Linked DNA regions of Macaca fascicularis. The protein of the gene in region 1 interacts with the protein of each later gene in a pairwise test. Links are inferred from orthologs where the notes say so. Each region holds a gene or a part of one and is shown in the gene's direction. Other genes may lie near its edges. The genes, in order: NECAB2, SSC5D and FXR2.

Evidence for each region.
Region 2: the proteins of NECAB2 (region 1) and SSC5D interact in binary tests that used the Homo sapiens proteins (3 or more experiments, as listed by UniProt). The two-hybrid records come from large-scale screens. The link is inferred for Macaca fascicularis from reciprocal best matches to the Homo sapiens genes NECAB2 and SSC5D.
Region 3: the proteins of NECAB2 (region 1) and FXR2 interact in a two-hybrid assay, tested with the Homo sapiens proteins (2 studies listed by BioGRID and IntAct). The link is inferred for Macaca fascicularis from reciprocal best matches to the Homo sapiens genes NECAB2 and FXR2.

Annotation. Positions count from the first base shown.
Region 1 is NC_088394.1:79,873,309-79,875,988, forward strand, and holds part of NECAB2 (N-terminal EF-hand calcium-binding protein 2), read left to right. Parts: intron 1-250; coding exon 251-363; intron 364-2,680. UniProt on the Homo sapiens protein: May act as a signaling scaffold protein that senses intracellular calcium.
Region 2 is NC_088393.1:63,443,726-63,447,377, forward strand, and holds part of SSC5D (soluble scavenger receptor cysteine-rich domain-containing protein SSC5D), read left to right. Parts: intron 1-196; coding exon 197-370; intron 371-3,460; coding exon 3,461-3,652.
Region 3 is NC_088390.1:7,657,160-7,660,811, reverse strand, and holds part of FXR2 (RNA-binding protein FXR2), read left to right. Parts: intron 1-2,815; coding exon 2,816-2,868; intron 2,869-3,227; coding exon 3,228-3,321; intron 3,322-3,652. UniProt on the Homo sapiens protein: mRNA-binding protein that acts as a regulator of mRNAs translation and/or stability, and which is required for adult hippocampal neurogenesis. Specifically binds to AU-rich elements (AREs) in the 3'-UTR of target mRNAs.

The DNA of each region.
Region 1 (2,680 bases):
CTGGGCCCTGGAGGCAGCTGTGGACATGGGTGGGGACTGGGTAAACAACTCGTCCGTTTTCCCCGTTTGTGGGGGCTACCTCTGCACTGGGCTCTTGAGGTTCTAGTCCTTTCTTATACTTTTCATTATACAATGAAAAGTCGGGGAGGTTTATTTAGACCAAGGGAGGGAGGTCATGGACGCCGGATGGGGTCTTTAGGGAGAAGTTCTGGCATGGAGCCCCACACTGACTCCTGCTGTGGCCCGGCAGCACCTGCAGCTGGTCCGGCAGGAGATGGCCGTGTGCCCCGAGCAACTCAGCGAGTTTCTGGACTCCCTGCGCCCGTATCTGCGGGGGACTGCCGGAGCGAGGAGCTGCTTCCAGTGAGTGAGCTGCTGAAGCGTGAGTGGGAGGGATGGTGGCAGGGAGCTCTGCCTGGCAGTGGAGGAACAGCGCGGGACTAGGCTTACCCCTAAGTACAAATCGCACCCCAGGGAGACACATAGCTGGGTGAATAAGAACTGGGTTCAGGTCATGCAAACGTGGCAGGTGCCTTCATCTCCCTGTCCTCAGCTCATTCATCTGTAAAAGGGGGGGGCCACCCCCAGGACTCCTTGTTGGGGTGATCACGATTCATATACAATCAAGTGTGTGAATCTCAAGTGTGAACGGCTCTGGCCGGGCCTGGTGTGCCACGTGCGCTCAGTCAGCCTTAGCTGTTGCTCTTGCAGGAGTTGCTGCTTAACACCAGGCCCAGAATGTAGTGTGTGCTCAGTTAACAACCGAGAAAGGAAAGGAGAGTCGAGTCGGTGAGGCTGAAGGGAAATGCCCAAAAAATGTAGCCGCCCCTCTCCCCTTCCCCACGGATGTGCTGAGATGGAAACGTAGCGGCCATTCTCTCCCTCCTCCCTATGGGTCTGTGGTGAGATGTCTAGGGCGGGGCAAGGGGCCTCACCCTCAAATTCCCGTTCATCCCCCCAGGATTATGTAGCTCCTTGGTAAAGCTAGGCCATGGCCACAGGGGAGGGGTCCACAGAAGACAACAGCCGTTTGTTCTTGCTGGTAGTAGCCCTTAAAGAGCATGAGGCCCAGGTGTTTCCCCTGCCCTTCATTTCTACACCAAGGCTCTGCCCAACTCCCTCCCTTTCCAGGGCTTTCTTCCATCCCCAGGGCACACATTCATTCGCCCTGTTGCCTGGGGGCATGGCTGTGAACGAGGCAGGCCAGGTCCTGCACGGGGTCTTCCTGGGCCCCCTGTGCACTGAGGCCTGACCTGTAGCACTAGGGGAGGAGCAGCCTGGGCAGGAGTGCGGCTGTTGCGGAGACCCAGGGTGGCCATCAGGGGCCACGCTTGAGTAAGTAGCCAGGGTGGTGGGCAGGACCCACTCCCATCCAGCAGGACAGACTGTATAGGAGCAGGGGCCAGACTTGATCTTTTCTCTGTTACATGAAGTGGGAGACCCCAGAGTGAAGTAGGGCCACCCCGATAGGCTGTGGAGAGGAGGCAAGGTGGATATAGAGGCTCTGGTTTCGGAGCCTCAGTAGAAGACAGTGCTGTTTGTTGAACTGGAGACGGCCAGCTTGGAGAGCCAGGCGAGACTGCACTTGCCAGGCACAGTGTACCTAACGCTGCACAGCGGTGTGTCTGTCCCCCTCCCTCCAGGCTGAGCACTGTTACCCCTCATCCCCTGCTCTTGCCCCCCCGCCCTTTTATGGTCACTTGGGGCTTCCTCATTGTAGTGCACTTGCAGAGAGAAGCCCGGAGCGGCATAGCCTATCTGCGCCTTTAAAATGAGGTGAGTGCTGTCCTCTGGGTCCCAAAGAGTGAAGGGGGACTTGCTTGCAGCCCCTTCCTCTGTGAATGCCCCCCTCCCGCAGCCTCCTTCGGTCAGGTACAGTGCAGTGGGGTTGTTGCAAGGATTAAATAAGATGACAATTAGGAGGAAGATGCTTTGATAATTTAAAGATAGGGTTTATATGTATATATATATTTTTTGTTTTTGAGACCAAATCTTGCTTTGTGGCCCAGGCAGGAGTGTAGTGGTGGAAGCTCAGCTCACTGCAGCCTCTACCCACCAGGTTCAAGTGAGTCTCAAGCCTCAGCCTCCTGCGTAACTGGGATTACAGGCCTATGGCACCAGGCCTGGCAACTTTTTAAGAGACCAGGTTTTGCCATTTTGGCTAGGCTGGTCTTGAATTTCTGGCCTCAAGTAACCCACCTGCCTCGGCCCCTCAAGACTTCCCAAGTTCTGGGATTACAGGTGTGAACCATCACACGCAGCCACCTGGTTTTGTTTAAATAAAGGTGAAGATTTTAACATGACATTTCAGCTGGGCACAGTGGCTGAAGTTTGTAATCCCAGCAGTTTGGAAGCCAAGGCGAGAGGACTGCCTGAGCCCAGGCGTTCAAGACCAGCGTGGGGACCATAGCAAGACCCCAGCTCTACTAGGACATTTTTTGAATTAGCCAGGCCAAGTGGTGCACACCTATAGTCCCAGCTACGTGGGAGGCTGAAGTGATTGTGCCACTGCACTCCAGCCTGGGCAACAGAGTGAGACCCTGTCTCAAAAAAACTACATGTCATTGAGAAATAGCTATTGGCCACTATAAGAAACCAGGCCTTGTTCCAGGTGGTGGGGGCACCCTGTTGAGTCTCGCTGGAGGACCAGAAAGGTTGAAGGCAGCGGTTGTGTATAGGG
Region 2 (3,652 bases), on another chromosome or scaffold:
GCCCCCCATTCACACCCCCTCTCCCCAGGTCAGGGACGTGGAAAGCGTGGGCTGTGTCTAGGGAGGAGGTTCGGCAGGAAGAGATCCCCGCGTGCCGCTGAGAGGACTGAAGAAGGATGATGCGGGAGGTGGGGATGCCGGCTCCAGCTCCCGGATGGTGTGTGTGGGTGGCAATCACTTATCCCCTGCTCCACAGGCATGCCCCTGGGCTATGTCCCTCCCACGGCCCCCATGGACAGCAACAACTCCACGCCCAGGGAGGCTGCCTCCAGGCCCCCGTCCACCATGACGAGCCAGGCTCCGGGGACGGCAGGCGTTTCAACTCCTCCAGCCTCCCCTACTGTCCTTTGGGAGCCCGGACCGGAAGCCGGTGAGTCCCTCCATGCTCCCCAAGAAAACAAGGTCCTTCCTTCTGTTTTCTTCTCTCAGCTCTGAGACTGTCTTATGGGGGGCCTCTTGCAAAGAGAAAGGTGGAGAAGAGGAGCACAGGGGCCTCACCCAGGACATTGAGCTGGGTTCAATGCTCTGCTGTCATGTCTGGAAGCGTGTGATAATTTTTGAACAAGGGGTCCTGACTTTCATCATTGACTGAGCCCCCAAAATTCTGTAACCAGTCCTCGATAAGAGAAAGGATGGTGGGCTGGGTCTGCTCTATTCCCAAGCTGCACGGTGTGGCTGTAGGATCCATCATGGGGTACTTGGGCCAGCTTGAAGGAACAGCCCTGCTCAAACATTACCTTTACTTTCCAGAGTCTCTAGTTCTTTAGCAAATATGATCAATGGCTCTGCCTGCCTCCTTTCCACCAGTTTTTGTTTTGTTTTGTTTTCTTTTCTTTTTTTGAGATAGGATTTCATTCTGTCACTCAGGCTGGAGTGCAGTGGTATGATCATGGCTCACTGAAGCCTCAACCTGCAAGCTCAAGTAATCCTCCCACCTCAGCTTCCTGAGTAGCTGGGACTACTAATTTTTTGTATTTTTTGCAGAGATGGGGTTTTGCCATGTTGCCCAGGCTGGTCTCGAACTCCTGAGCTCAAACCGTCTGCCCACCTCGGCCTCCCAAAGTGCTGGGATTGGAGGTGTGAGCCACCGCGCCTGGCCTCTGTCATGAGTATTGAAAGGACTGTTGTTTTAAAATATAGGTGTTATTATTACCCAGGTGCGGTGAGGCCAGGAGATCAGGAGATGACAGCCACTAAAAAGATTGTGACTCACGGTTCTCGAGAGAACGGCGTGCCACACGGGGTCACACAGGGAAGCACCAGGGCCAGGCAGGAGGTAGAGGGAGTGAGAGGGAGGCATGGCAGGAATCTTTATCTATATATTTATTTAGAGACAGGGTCTCACTTGGTTGCCCAGGCTGGAGTGCGGTGGTATAGTCACAGCTCCCTGCAGCCTCAAACGCCTGGGCTCAAGTGATCCTCCCACCTCCGCCTCCTGGGTAACTAAGACTACAGCTGCATGCCACCGTGCCCAGCTAAGTTTTTTTTTTCTGTAGAGACAGGTCCTCACTATTGTCCAGGTTGGTCTCAAATTCCTGGCCTCAAGTGATCCTCCTGTCTTGGCCTCCCGAAGTGCTGGGATTAGAGGCGTGAGCCACCATGCCCGGCCAGGTGCAGGGGTCTTTCTTGTGTTTTTTGCAGGAAGGAATAGGTGAGACAGGGCAAGCAGGCTTAGAATTGGCTGTTTTGAAGAATTTCGGTGGGGGGTGGGGGTGGCTCAGAAGCGTTGTCCTCAGTCGGCTGGTACCTGGCCCTGCAGCAGTGAGGACAGGTGCAGAGTGGCCCAGGGTGTGAGAGCCCCGTGGAGAGGGTGGTTTGCACACAGAAGGCATGCTCAAGCCGTTTACCATCTCTAGGAATTAGCTAACCCTGGGAGGGGCAGTCCCTCAGGATCAGGAATGCTCCAAGATGTCAAAGCATCAGAAATACAGAAAATAAGAAGGCGTGGTTAACACAGCTGTCTCCTCAAGACGGGAAAAGGCCGAACAAAAGCAGCAACTTGTTTTCACCATGGTCACCATTCCCAGAGGCCTCTTTCCCCTTTTCCTGAATAATAATGTCAGCTAACACTGATCGAGCATGCGCTGGCTCCTGGTCACTGATGCTGTTCCCAGTTCTCTCCATGTCTCAGTCCAGGTGACGCTCGCAGCCACTGCGGTGTGGGCATTGACAGGTCTTCATGTTACAGATGAGGCAGCGCAGCTGAGAAATGGGAGAGCCAGGATTCAAGCAAAAACGCTTGTTCCAGGGCTCACATTCTTTTAAAAAAATTGTGATAAAACATACATGACATAAAATTTACCATTTTTACCAGCCTTTTTTTTAAAAAAAAAAAAAAAAAAACAGGGTCTCACTCTGTCACCAAGGCTGGAGTGTAGTGGTTGCTCACTGCAACCTCTGCCTCCCAGGTTCAAGTGATTCTCCTGCCTCAGCCTCCTGAGTAGCTGGGATTACAGGCGTGAGCCACCGCGCCTGGCCCATGCCTGGCTAATTTTTGTATTTTTAGTAGAGACAGAGTTTCTCCACGTTGGCCAGGCTGGTCTCGACCTCCTGATCTCAGGTGATCTGCCTGCCTCAGCCTCCCACAGTTGCTGGAATTACAGGCGTGAGCCACCGTGCCTGGCCTGCTGCTTCCTGTCTTTTAAAGGACTTCCTCTGAGAAGGCTTCTCCAGCTTCCCCAGGCAGAATTTTTCTCACCTTCTCCTCGTTGTGTGTCTGCCTTGCCTTTTTGGTACTTCCACTACTCCCTTTAGCTCGCTGAGTTGCAATGAAGTGTGTGCATACTACCTTTTCTAAAGACCGAGAGTTTTTCAAAGCAGAGGCTGTGCCTGACTCATAAACAACAACAAAACACCTTATTATCCCTGGTGGTCTAGTGGTTAGGAAAATAAAATCTAAAAAAGAAGAAAAAAAAACCCTTATTAAACCAATAATAATGAGAGAAAATTAAGGGTGGTGAACAATTGCAGGGAAAAAGACTTTTATTTTAATTGAGGTGAAATTCATGTAATATAAAGTTAACCAGTTTAAGTATACAACTCAAGTGGTATTTATACATTCAAAATGTTGTACAACCACTACTATTTGGCTACTGTGAATGGTGCTGCTATGAACATTCACATACCGGTGTCTGTCTGAATACCTGTTTTCAGTTTATTTTGGGTATATCCCTACTATAGACTTTCTAGATTATATGGTAATTCGATGTGTAGCTTTTTGAAGATCCTCCAAACTCTGCCTGGCTCATCATCCCTCGTGCCTAATGCAGAAAATGGCACAAAAAAGGCTTCATTAAATATTTGCTGCCTGGAGGAAAGGATGGTTGAATGGAGGGGAGGCCTAGATGGATGAACGGATGGATGCATGGAAAGGAAGATGGAGGGAGGGAAAGGTAGATGAAGAGTCAGGAGGCTGGGTGGCTTCCCTGACTCTTAATTCTTTGGGTCTCTTCTACCCCAGGGTCCCCCCAGCTGCGCCTGGTGGCTGGGCCCAGCAAGTGCTCAGGTCGACTGGAGGTGTGGCATGACCAGCGCTGGGGGACCGTGTGTGACGATAGCTGGGACATGCGGGACTCAGTCGTGGTCTGCCGGGAGCTGGGCTGTGGTGGACCTCGGCAGCCAGACCCTGCTGCTGGCCGCTTTGGCTGGGGTG
Region 3 (3,652 bases), on another chromosome or scaffold:
AGAGTTTTGCTCTGTTGTCTAGGCTGCAGTGCGATGGCATGATCTTGACTGACTTCAGCCTCTGCCTCCTGGCTTCAAGTGATTTTCATGCCTCAGCCACCCTGAATAGCTGAGGTTACAGCCATGTGCCACCACGCCTGGCTAATTTATTTATTATTATTATTATTAGTAGTAGTAGTAGTAGTAGTAGTAGTAGTAGTAGCAGTAGTAGTAGTAGTAGTAGCAGCTATGGGGTTTTGCCATATTGGCCAGACTGATCTCAAACTCCTGGCCTCAGCTGATCTGCCAGCCTTGGCCTCCCAGTGTTGGGATTACAGGCATGAGCTACCACTCCTGGCCAGAAAGAACTGTTTGTCTTTTCAACAAGCAGTGTGGAACAAGATATCTGTAGGTAAAAAATGGGCTGGGCACAGTGGTCACGCCTGTAATCCCAACATTCTTGGAGGCTAAGGCGGGTGTGTTGCTTGAGTCCAGGAGTTTAAGACCAGCCTGGGCAACACAGCGAAACCCTGTCTCTATTAAAAAAATTTTTTTTTTATTTAAAAATATGTTTTAGGCTCAAGCCTGTAATCCCAGCACTTTGGGAAGCCAAGACGGGCGAATCACGAGGTCAGGAGATCGAGACCATCTTGGCTAACATGGTGAAACCCCATCTCTACTAAAAAGTACAAAAAACTGGCCGGGACAAAAAACTAGCCGGGCAAGGTGGTGGACGCCTGTAGTCCCAGCTATTTGGGAGGGGGAGGCAGGAGAGTGGCGTAAACCCGGGAGGCGGAACTTGCAGTGAGCTGAAATCCGGCCACTGCACTCCAGCCTGGGCGACACAGCGAGACTCCGTCTCAAAAAAAAAAATAAATAAATAAATAAAAATATGTTTTAAAAAAAGAGGCCAGGCACAATGGTTCATACCTGTAATCCCAGCACTTTGGGAGGCTGAGGCGGGTGGATCAGGTCGGGAGTTTGAGACCAGTCTGACCAACATGGAGAAACCCTGTCTCTACTAAAAATACAAAGTTAGCTGAGCATGGTGGCACATGCCTGTAATCCCAGCTACTTGGGAGGCTGAGGCAGAATTGCTTGAACCTGGGAGGCGGAGGTTGCGGTGAGCCAAAATTGCACCATTGCACTCCAGCCTGGGCAACAAGAGCAAAACTCTGTCTCAAAAAAAATAAATAAAAATTAAAAAATTTAAAAAACGTTGATCAATACCTCACTTTATATGTAAAACTTAATTCAAAATGGATTATAGGGCTAGGCACAGTGGCTCACATCTGTAATCCCAGCTTTGGGAGGCCGAGGCGGGTGGATCAGCTGAGGTCAGGAGTTCGAGACGAGCCTGGCCAACATGGTAAAACCCCCTATCTACTAAAAATATGAAAAATTAGCCTGGTATGGTGGCGGTTGCCTGTAACCTTAGCTACTCGAGAGGCTGAGGCAGGAGAATTGCTTGAACCCAGGGGGTGGATGTTGCAGTGGGCCAAGAGATTGTGCCATTGCACTCTAGCCTGGGTGACAGAGTGAGACTCTGTCTAAAAATAAAGGAGTATAGATGTAAATGTAAAACAAAAAACTAAAAGTTTAAGAAGACATAAGGGAAAACCTTTGTGGCCTTGGATTAGGCAAAGATTTCTTTTTTCTTTTTTTTGAGATGGAGTTTTGCTCTTGTCGCCCAGCCTGGAGTGCAATAGCACGATCTTGGCTCACTGCAACCTCTGACTCTCAGGTTCAGGTGATTCTCTTTCCTCAGCCTCCCAAGTAGCTGGGATTACAGGCATGCACTACCATGCCTGGCTAAGTTTTGTATTTTTAGTAGAGATGGGGTTTCACCATGTTGGCCAGGCTGGTCTCGAACTCCTGACCTCAGATGATTGGCCTGCCTTGTCTCCCAAAGTGCTGGGATTACAGGTGTGAGCCACTGTGCCTGGCCTGGGCAAAGATTTCTTAGATATGAAACCAAAAGCACAGTTGATAAAATAATAAATTCATAAGCTAGACCTTTTTCAAAATTAGAAATCCCTAATTGTATGTGACAAATAGGGGGAAGGTAGAAAAATTGGGAGCGCAGGGGTGAACTCATGGCTTTGGCCTCCTTAGTGAGGACATAGACCACAGGAGATGGATCAGCTGTTCAGTCGTCCCTGTTCCTCTTGTCATAATATCAAGTTTGGAGTCTTCCATACATTTTGTTATCCTTTATAAATTTTCAGTGTCATTCTAGATTCAATTCTAGTATTAAAAAACTCTGATGTATTTTAAGTCTTAATTTTTCCTTCTGTAAATTGTGTTCATCACAATTTTGAACTTGTCTAGTGTTCTGATTATTGTCTTAGGACCCATGCATCAGGGCAGCGAGTCTGCTCAGATCTCTTGCTGTATTGCGGAGGTAGGCCTTTCTCTCTCTTGACAGATCCTCATGTCCTCTAGGTGTTCCAGGACAGCCTCACACTGTCTCATGGGATATTCTTAGCCTTGCTGAATGTTGTTGGTATTTTAATTGAACTCTGGCAGGCTGCTCAGCACAACAGGAGGCAGACAGATAGGGAGGCCCCTGTGGGAGCCTGAGTAGATCACCGGTTTCCAGGCTGTTCTGATGCAGGTGGTACATACACCTCTCCATGACAATATAATTTCCTTTCTCTGTCTGACTGCCCATATTCTTTCCCCAGTGCAGCCTTTCAGGCTCTCTCATTACACCACTTGTGTCCCTATCTAAAACTCAAGTTTAAGGGTTTGTGGTGTCTCTATTCCCTTGGTGGCTAAGGTGGAAGTAAAAGGTCATTTTATATTTTTTACTTTTTTCTAAAATCCATTCTAGGGCTTTGTGAAGGATGTCCATGAAGACTCTGTCACCATCTTCTTTGAAAACAAGTAAGACCTTGGGAATAGAGAATCCAGCATACTAGGTCCTAGAAGGAGAGTGGAGAAGAGGGGGCGGCTGAGTCCTATGAGGCATGTAATAGGTGGGGAGACCTGAGGGTTTGGGTGGGGAACTTACATGGATCCCAGGAGAGGAAAGGGCTGAGAATTTGGTGAGGGCGGGGGCGTTTGGCCCAGTATTTAGAGTCTAGAAAGAGATGGATGGCACCACTATGGAGCAGGACCTGGGGGTTAGCCTCTGATTATCCAGATAGGTGGGAATCGCCCAGCCGAGGCAATAACCCTTTTGTAAAGAAATGGGCAACCATATCAGTCAGAGTAGCTTTTTCATATTCTTGTTTCTCTTACAGCTGGCAGAGTGAGAGACAAATTCCTTTTGGAGATGTCCGACTACCACCTCCAGCTGACTATAATAAGGAGATCACAGAAGGGGATGAAGTGGAGGTAAGGGCTGTGGAGTACACCCTTTCTAAATGTCACGTTTTCCCAGGATTCTAGGCTTTTCTCTGGTTGGTTCATATTCCTTCCTCCCCAACTAAACCATATCCAGCCACTAAGTCATTTCCATAGGCTACATGCCTGTGGAAATGTAAAATGCAACAGTTCCCCTTTCATCACTGTTATGATCAGCCAAACTCTGAGGGACATCCCCAGTTTCAGGGGATTTGCCTTCCATTTGTGGTAACAGCATCTAAAATCCAGTGTGCGCTGATTTTTTTTTTTTTTTTTTGAGATGGAGTCTCGCTCTGTCGCCCAGGCTGGAGTGCGGTGGCCG